2 linked regions of the Danio rerio genome follow. The main gene of each other region encodes a partner of the protein of the gene in region 2 in a complex. Links are inferred from orthologs where the notes say so. Each region holds a gene or a part of one and is shown on either strand. Other genes may lie near its edges.

What was found.
Region 1: supt16h (region 2) and ssrp1b share a complex: the UniProt entries of both Homo sapiens proteins name them as parts of the FACT complex. The link is inferred for Danio rerio from reciprocal best matches to the Homo sapiens genes SUPT16H and SSRP1.

What each region holds. Positions count from the first base shown.
Region 1 is NC_133176.1:47,969,222-47,973,520, forward strand, and holds the start of ssrp1b (FACT complex subunit SSRP1), read left to right. Parts: upstream 1-1,499; 5' UTR 1,500-1,561; intron 1,562-1,946; exon of another isoform or gene 1,947-1,962; 5' UTR 1,963-1,983; coding exon 1,984-2,037; intron 2,038-2,123; coding exon 2,124-2,309; intron 2,310-2,406; coding exon 2,407-2,512; intron 2,513-4,299. Other genes in the region: pold4 (DNA polymerase delta subunit 4), read right to left, coding at 68-157, 299-400, 1,323-1,347. UniProt on the Homo sapiens protein: Component of the FACT complex, a general chromatin factor that acts to reorganize nucleosomes. The FACT complex is involved in multiple processes that require DNA as a template such as mRNA elongation, DNA replication and DNA repair.
Region 2 is NC_133182.1:2,079,826-2,083,325, forward strand, and holds part of supt16h (FACT complex subunit SPT16), read left to right. Parts: intron 1-1,711; coding exon 1,712-1,841; intron 1,842-3,377; coding exon 3,378-3,500. UniProt on the Homo sapiens protein: Component of the FACT complex, a general chromatin factor that acts to reorganize nucleosomes. The FACT complex is involved in multiple processes that require DNA as a template such as mRNA elongation, DNA replication and DNA repair.

The DNA of each region.
Region 1 (4,299 bases), on a different chromosome or scaffold from region 2:
GCGCTACCCACTGCGCAACCATGCTGCCGTTATTATAATCAATGTAAAATCAAAAACAGACGTTTACCTGTGCATGGTCCAAACTTCCAATCCAGATCAAAGTTCTTCAGCTCCTGTATATCTTTTTCTCTTTCACTCAGTTGTGGGGGTTCAGGCTCTGAGCAGTAATAACAGGTTATAAATGCATTACATGGTTGCATGTGCCTCTAAAGCATTTGCACACTTTAGGACCATAGTGATATGGAATGATTTCTGCTTAAAGATGCATGTTAACACACAGAACAAAATACTATCTGACCTGCTTTCGGTGGTGAAGGAGACTTGCTTCTCTTGCCTCCTCTCCTTGCCTTCTTCACAACCTTAAAGGTGTCGGTGATGAGGCCACGCTTTGGTGTCATATCTGAAATAAAGCAAACAATGAGCAATACATATGCTACAGTATGTATGTAACTTCAATCAATGAACTATCGATAAATGGTAATGCATTAAAATGAATATATACTTTGAAAGTGTTTTCAGTTATACAATAATTAAAGAGATAGTTCACACAGAATGAAAATTCCTAAACTTTTGTTCTGTTGCACACAAAAGAAGATATTCTGAAGAATGTTGGAAAAATTATCAAAAACAAGTCATAGGCTGTTTTTTATTTCAACATTCTTCAGATTATCTTGTTTTTGTTTAACAGAAGAACGAATCTCAAACAAGTTTGGAACAAGTGAAGGATGAGTAAATGATGACAGAATTTTCTTTTTTTGGGGTGAACTATCCCCTTTAAGAGTCTTTGTTCCAGTGTTTTTACACACACACACACACACACACACAAAAAAAAAACTATATTTAACTTATTATAATAGTATATGTTTAAGAAAAGGGGTTGGTATCAGTTTATCATGCGTAATTATAAATAATTCACTGTTATTACTTTAGTAAGTACAAGGCACATGTAAACAACAGTTTCAGTATTTTCATTGTTAGTACATGTTAACTAACGTGTTAGCTTCCTAGTTTAAACGTGATGTAGCATAATAAGATATATCAACAAGTTAAATCGAGGTAAATACATAATGTTGTAACGTCAATAATGTTGTAAATACTCTGGCTGTGAGAGCACAAAGAGCAGGACATGCAAATACTATCTTACTAGATGCTTTCGGTCTAAAACATAAAATAAGCAATGCATTCTGTGTAGCATTTCATTTTAATTTCTAAATAAATTGCATTAAAATCACCAGTAAAGGCGATCTTTATTTATTGATCCATCGAACAACAGTGCTTGAAACACTACTGTCAAAAAAGTATATCTGAAATATATTGCATACCTGGACGCTGATAGGATATCGTCATATGATAAATTATTTGTAAATGTTGACAGCAGCAGTCTTCATCAATAAAGCCTTTTAACTTTCCCTTTGTGTTTCGATCGTTTACAAAACAGACTGACGTTCGATAGGCAGGGCTGAGCCACGCACACTGCGCGATTGCGTCATGACGAAGGCGTTCCTGCGCGCCGCACATCTACGCTCACGGGACTCGGCCTTGATCCTCTCGCCGAATAACAGTAATACTCATTCAAATTTCTCGCATATTTCATAACATATGCAACAAAAGCGTTCGAAATGTACTAAGCCTGCTGTAAATTTGCTGTAAATTTGCAAACGTGTCGTTCGTCACAAAAGCCGCTGTTTGATGCCTGAACGCCAGCTTTGCTAGCTTTATTTGTTTATTATTAGACATCATCTCGCTGTGCAGCCACAAAATAATAACACTCGCAAAAGCTTTTCTTAAAGCACAAAGCTAGATTTTTACATCCAAAACAACCTATAATAAAAGTCTACTGTTGACACCAGAGTAAACTGGGAGTTTTCTATCATTCATAACACATTCATATTGCCATTTGCAGTGGAAATTGTATAATGTATAATGTATATTAATAACTGTCGCAGCTTTTAAACGTCACAGGTCCATTCTGTCTACTCTGACATGAGTGACACTTTGGAGTTCAATGAAATTTATCAGGAGGTCAAGGGCTCATGGGTGAGTTAAAAAAGGTTTTGTTCTCTAACTTGAGGTGTTTTTCTATCAAACTCTCAATAAAGTTGACCGACTGTCTTTTCTTGTAGAATGACGGCCGCCTGCGCTTCAGTAAGCAGACAGTGGTGTATAAAAACAGTAAGACCGGGAAGGTGGACACTATTCCGGTCCCTGAACTCACTCAGGCCCAGTGGAGGAGAGTCTGTCTGGGTCACGGCATCAAACTATGGACCAGCACTGGCCACATCTACAAATATGATGGCTTTAAAGACGCAGTGAGTCTGAGATGCAAATTACAGATCAATTGATCACTCAGTTTGATCCGCTGTTTCATTCCAGGTCTTAAATTTTCATCCGTTTCTTTTTGCGCAGGACCTTGAGAAGATCTCAGAATACTTCAAAGACAACTACAAAGTGGAGCTAACAGAGAAAGACATGTGTGTTAAGGGCTGGAATTGGGGCACTGCTAAATTTAATGGTCAGTGCATTCCTGTTGCAACGCTTTTTGTCTGAGATATTCAGTTAAAGTCAGAATTATTAGCCATTCTGAATTATTAGCCCCCCTGTTTATTTTTTCCCCCAATTTCTGTTTAACAGAGAGATTTTCTCAACACATTTCTAAACATAATAGTTTTAATAACTCATTTCTAATAACTGATTTATTTTATCTTTACCATGATGCCAGTAAATAATATTTAACTAGATATTTGTAAGACACTTCTATACAGCTTAAAGTGACATTTAAAGGCTTAACTAGGTCAATTAGGTTAACTAGGCAGGTTAGGGTAATTAGGCAAGTTATTGTATAGTGATGGTTTGTTCTGTAGACCATCGGACACAAATAGCTTAAAGGGGCTAATAACTTTGTCTTTGAAGTGTTTTTAAAAAATGTAAAACTGCTTTTCTTCTAGCCAAAATACAACAAATAAGATTTTCTCCAGAAGAAAACATTATCAGACATACTGTGAAAATTTCATTGCTCTGTTTTAACAAACAGGTTTGTTACTAGAATGGTCAGGCAGGCAACAGTCAACAGGGTAAAACAGATACATACAGAGAATCCAGAGTCGTGGTCATAGAACAGGCGAATGGTCGGAACAAGCAGCAAAGAATCAAAACAAAGAGACAAAGGGTTAAAACACAGCTAGGCTAAACAGGGAGAAAACACGTCGTAATGCTCACAGATAAACAAGACTCAAAAAAGTGTGTGTGTGTGTGTGTGTGTGTGTGTGTAATCAACAGAGAACTGGAACAGGTGTGTGTGAGGTGCATGACAGGATTCGTTGGTCTAGATCGCTGGTGATTGTGACAGTAGTGACCTTAAACACTGTTTTTTAGTATGTTTGTCTTCCAAAAGTATGGAGCAAATAATATGGAAAAACAATCTGAATTTAAATTGTGCAAATTTGAATCACAATAGCAATTGTAATTTAATAAAATTTAATATTAAATGCTATTAAACTGTTTGAATTTGAATTTCTTAACTTGAATATTGAACATCTGAAATTTAAGACAACTGAATTTTTTCAGATTTCTATTGACGTATTTTCAAACTTCAGATTTTTTCGTTCTAAATTTATAGATTGCAGATATTGAGCTTGTGAAAATACAGTTTTGAGTTTTCAAGATGAAGAAATTCAGAGCATCGAATTCAATATTTTAAATTTTAAAACCAGAAAATCAGATTGTGAAATTCAGATTTAGCAAAAAGTAGGTCAGGGGTCATCAACAGTGAAGAAAATTCAGATTGTTTTGGCATATTATTCGCTCCATATCAAAGAACCTTTCGATGAACATATCTTTAAAGCTTTTTAATAATCAAAAGCAAAATAACACTATAAAAATAGGTTTCTTGTATGTTATGTATGGTGATGTGAATCGGTAATTGTAATTAAAATGTTTGATTTTTTTAACTAATTATAAAAATGTAATAAATACAAAAATACATATTATTAAACATGATGTAGCTAATTCAAGGTAAATACATAATGTTGTAGTGTAAATGTTGTAAATACTCAGGCTGTTGGAGCACTAAGAGCAGGACATACAAGATGTCTTACAAGATGTTCTCGCCTCGCCTTTTCGCCAGCTGACTTTATTGTAAGACAAAATAAGCAATGCATTCTGTGTAGCATTTTACTTTCAATTGTAATTACAATTTGCTTTAGATTTTTTTCAATTAATTATAAAAATGTAATAAGTCCATAAAATATATATTATTGTGATACTATTGCACAGTATATAACAGTAATATTATTTTTATAA
Region 2 (3,500 bases):
GACAGTTTAGACAATTTGTCTGTTTGGTTGTGTGGTTTAGACTAAATTTGTCTGTTTGGTTGTGGTATTTGGTGTGTAATGTGATGGTTTAGTCTAAATTTGTCTGTTTGGTTGTGGTATTTGGTGTCTAATGTGACAGTTTAGACAATTTGTCTGTTTGGTCATGGTATTTGGTGTGTAATGTGATGGTTTAGTCTAAATTTGTCTGTTTGGTCGTGGTATTTGGTGTGTAATGTGATGGTTTAGTCTAAATTTGTTTGTTTGGTCGTGGTATTTGGTGTCTAATATGATGGTTTAGTCTAAATTTGTCTGTTTGGTCGTGGTATTTAGTGTGTAATGTGATGGTTTAGTCTAAATTTGTCTGTTTGGTCGTGGTATTTAGTGTGTAATGTGATGGTTTAGTCTAAATTTGTTTGTTTGGTCGTGGTATTTGGTGTCTAATATGATGGTTTAGTCTAAATTTGTCTGTTTGGTCGTGGTATTTGGTGTCTAATATGATGGTTTAGTCTAAATTTGTCTGTTTGGTTGTGGTATTTGGTGTCTAATGTGACAGTTTAGACTAAATTTGTCTGTTTGGTTGTGGTATTTGGTGTCTAATGTGATGGTTTAGTCTAAATTTGTCTGTCTGATCGTGGTATTTGTTGTCGAATGTGACAGTTTAGACAATTTGTCTGTTTGGTCATGGTATTTGGTGTGTAATGTGATGGTTTAGTCTAAATTTGTCTGTTTGGTCGTGGTATTTAGTGTGTAATGTGATGGTTTAGTCTAAATTTGTTTGTTTGGTCGTGGTATTTGGTGTCTAATATGATGGTTTAGTCTAAATTTGTCTGTTTGGTCATGGTATTTGGTGTCTAATGTGACAGTTTAGACAATTTGTCTGTTTGGTTGTGTGGTTTAGACTAAATTTGTCTGTTTGGTTGTGGTATTTGGTGTCTAATGTGACAGTTTAGACAATTTGTCTGTTTGGTCATGGTATTTGGTGTGTAATGTGACGGTTTTGTCTAAATATGTCTGTTTGGTCATGGTATTTGGTGTGTAATGTGATGGTTTAGTCTAAATTTATCTGTTTGGTCGTGGTATTTGGTGTCTAATATGATGGTTTAGTCTAAATTTGTCTTTTTGGTTGTGGTATTTGGTGTGTAATGTGATGGTTTAGTCTAAATTTGTCTGTCTGATCGTGGTATTTGGTGTCTAATGTGATGGTTTAGTCTAAATTTGTCTGTCTGATCGTGGTATTTGGTGTCTAATGTGATGGTTTAGTCTAAATTTGTCTGTCTGATCGTGGTATTTGGTGTCTAATGTGATGGTTTAGTCTAAATTTGTCTGTCTGATCGTGGTATTTGTTGTCGAATGTGACAGTTTAGACTATATTTGTCTGTTTGGTTGTGGTATTTGTTGTCGAATGTGACAGTTTAGTCTAAATTTGTCTGTTTGGTTGTGGTATTTGGTGTCTAATGTGATGGTTTAGTCTAAATTTGTCTGTCTGATCGTGGTATTTGGTGTCTAATGTGACAGTTTAGACTAAATTTGTCTGTCTGATCGTGGTATTTGGTGTCTAATGTGATGATTAGTCTGTATTTAATGTCTGATGTGATGTTTAGTCTAAATTGGTCTATTTGGTCGTGGTATTAGTGTCTAGTATGATGGTTTAATATTAATGTCTTTATATATGGTCGTGTTTGACTGGACGTCTTCTGTTTTGTGTTCGCAGCTCGTGTGATATCAAATACACTGAAGGCATTCAGTCTCTGAACTGGACCAAGATCATGAAGACCATAGTGGATGATCCGGAGGGCTTTTTCGAGCAGGGCGGCTGGTCTTTCCTGGACCCTGAGAGTGAGGTGAGGAGTCTGAACATTTGAAACAAGGTCACTTTGTGGAGCTTTTCTTGCGTTAGGCCAGTGGTCACCAAACTTGTTCCTGGAGGGCCGGTGTCCTGCAGATTTTTGCTCCAACCCTAATCAAACACACCTGAACAAGCTAATTAAGGTCTTACTTGGTATACTTAAAACATCCAGGCAGGTGTGTTGAGGCAAGTTGGAGCTAAACCCTGCAGGGACACCGGCCCTCCAGGACCAGGATTGGTGACCCCTGTGTTAGGCTGTCTGAAATTGACTACTACATTTAAATAAGAATTTACTACACAAGAAACGTATGTGCTTTATCAGATCTGGGCATTTTATGGCCTGCATGACGCTTTGATTGGACCACGTTAACTCATTAGTTCATTTAAATTCACAAACTGGGATGCACAGGTCTGATATAGCAATAAGTAAATGAAAGGGACCACTCACATATCACGTCCTTTGTCATTATTTTAAATTGTCATGTCTTGTCATTTTTATCCACTTATCCGGGCCGGCAGTAGTCTTGGGAGAGAACCCCAAACTTTCCTCTCCCTGGACACTTGCTATAGCTCCTCCGGGGAAATCCCGAGGTGTTCCCAGGCCAGCCGAGAGACATAGTCCCTCCAGTGTGTCCTGGGTTTTCACCGAGGCCTCCTCCCGGTGGGACATGGCTGGAATACCTCCCTGGGTAGGCGTCCAGGAGGCATCCGAAGCAGATGCCCGAGCCAACTCAGCTGACTTCTCTCAATGTGGAGGAGCAGCGGCTCTACTCTGAGCTCCTCCTGGGTGCAGAGCTCCTCACCCTGTCTATGAGGGTGCACCCTGCTACCCTGTGAAGAAAGCTCATTTCTGCCGCTTGTATTCGAGATCTTGTCCTTTCGGTCATGACCCAAAGCTCATGACTATAGGTGAGAGTATGAAATGTAGATTGACCGTTAAATCGAGAGCTTTGCCTTTAGGCTCAGCTCCTTCTTTACCACAACAGACCGGTTATCGTCCGCATTACTGCTGCTGCACCGATCCGCCTGTCAATCTCACACTCCATCCTTCCCTCACTTGTAAACAAAACCCCAAGATACTTGAACTGCCCCACCTGGGGTAAGGACTTTCCTCTAATCTGGAGATGGCATGGCACCTTTTTCTGGTGGAGCACCGGATGATCCTCATCTTAGCTGTGTCACACTCGGCAGCAAACCGCCCTAGTGCATGCTGAAGGTCCATGTTCAGGAAGCCAACAGAACGACATCGTCTGCGAATAACGATGAAAATCCTGTGGTCCCCGAACCAAACCCCCTCCAGCTCAACCAAGTTTGAAATTCTGTCCAAATAAATGATGAACAGAATGGATGACAGAGGGTAGCCCTGCCAGGGTCCAACATGCACTGGAGACCAGTCTGACTTGATAAATTGCATTTATTTATAAAGTAATAATAATATGAGCATCTGTTAGCAGATTCACGTGTGTTTCACATTAATAATTCATCTGATTCAAGTTTCATCCTTTTCTGATATTGTTAACGTGTGTTTCAGGGCAGCGGAGGGGAGGAAGACTCCGAGTCTGAGATCGAGGATGAAACTTTCAACCCTTCAGCTGATGAGGAGGAGGAGGAAGAGGAGGACAGCGATGAGGATTATTCCTCAGAGACTGAGGAC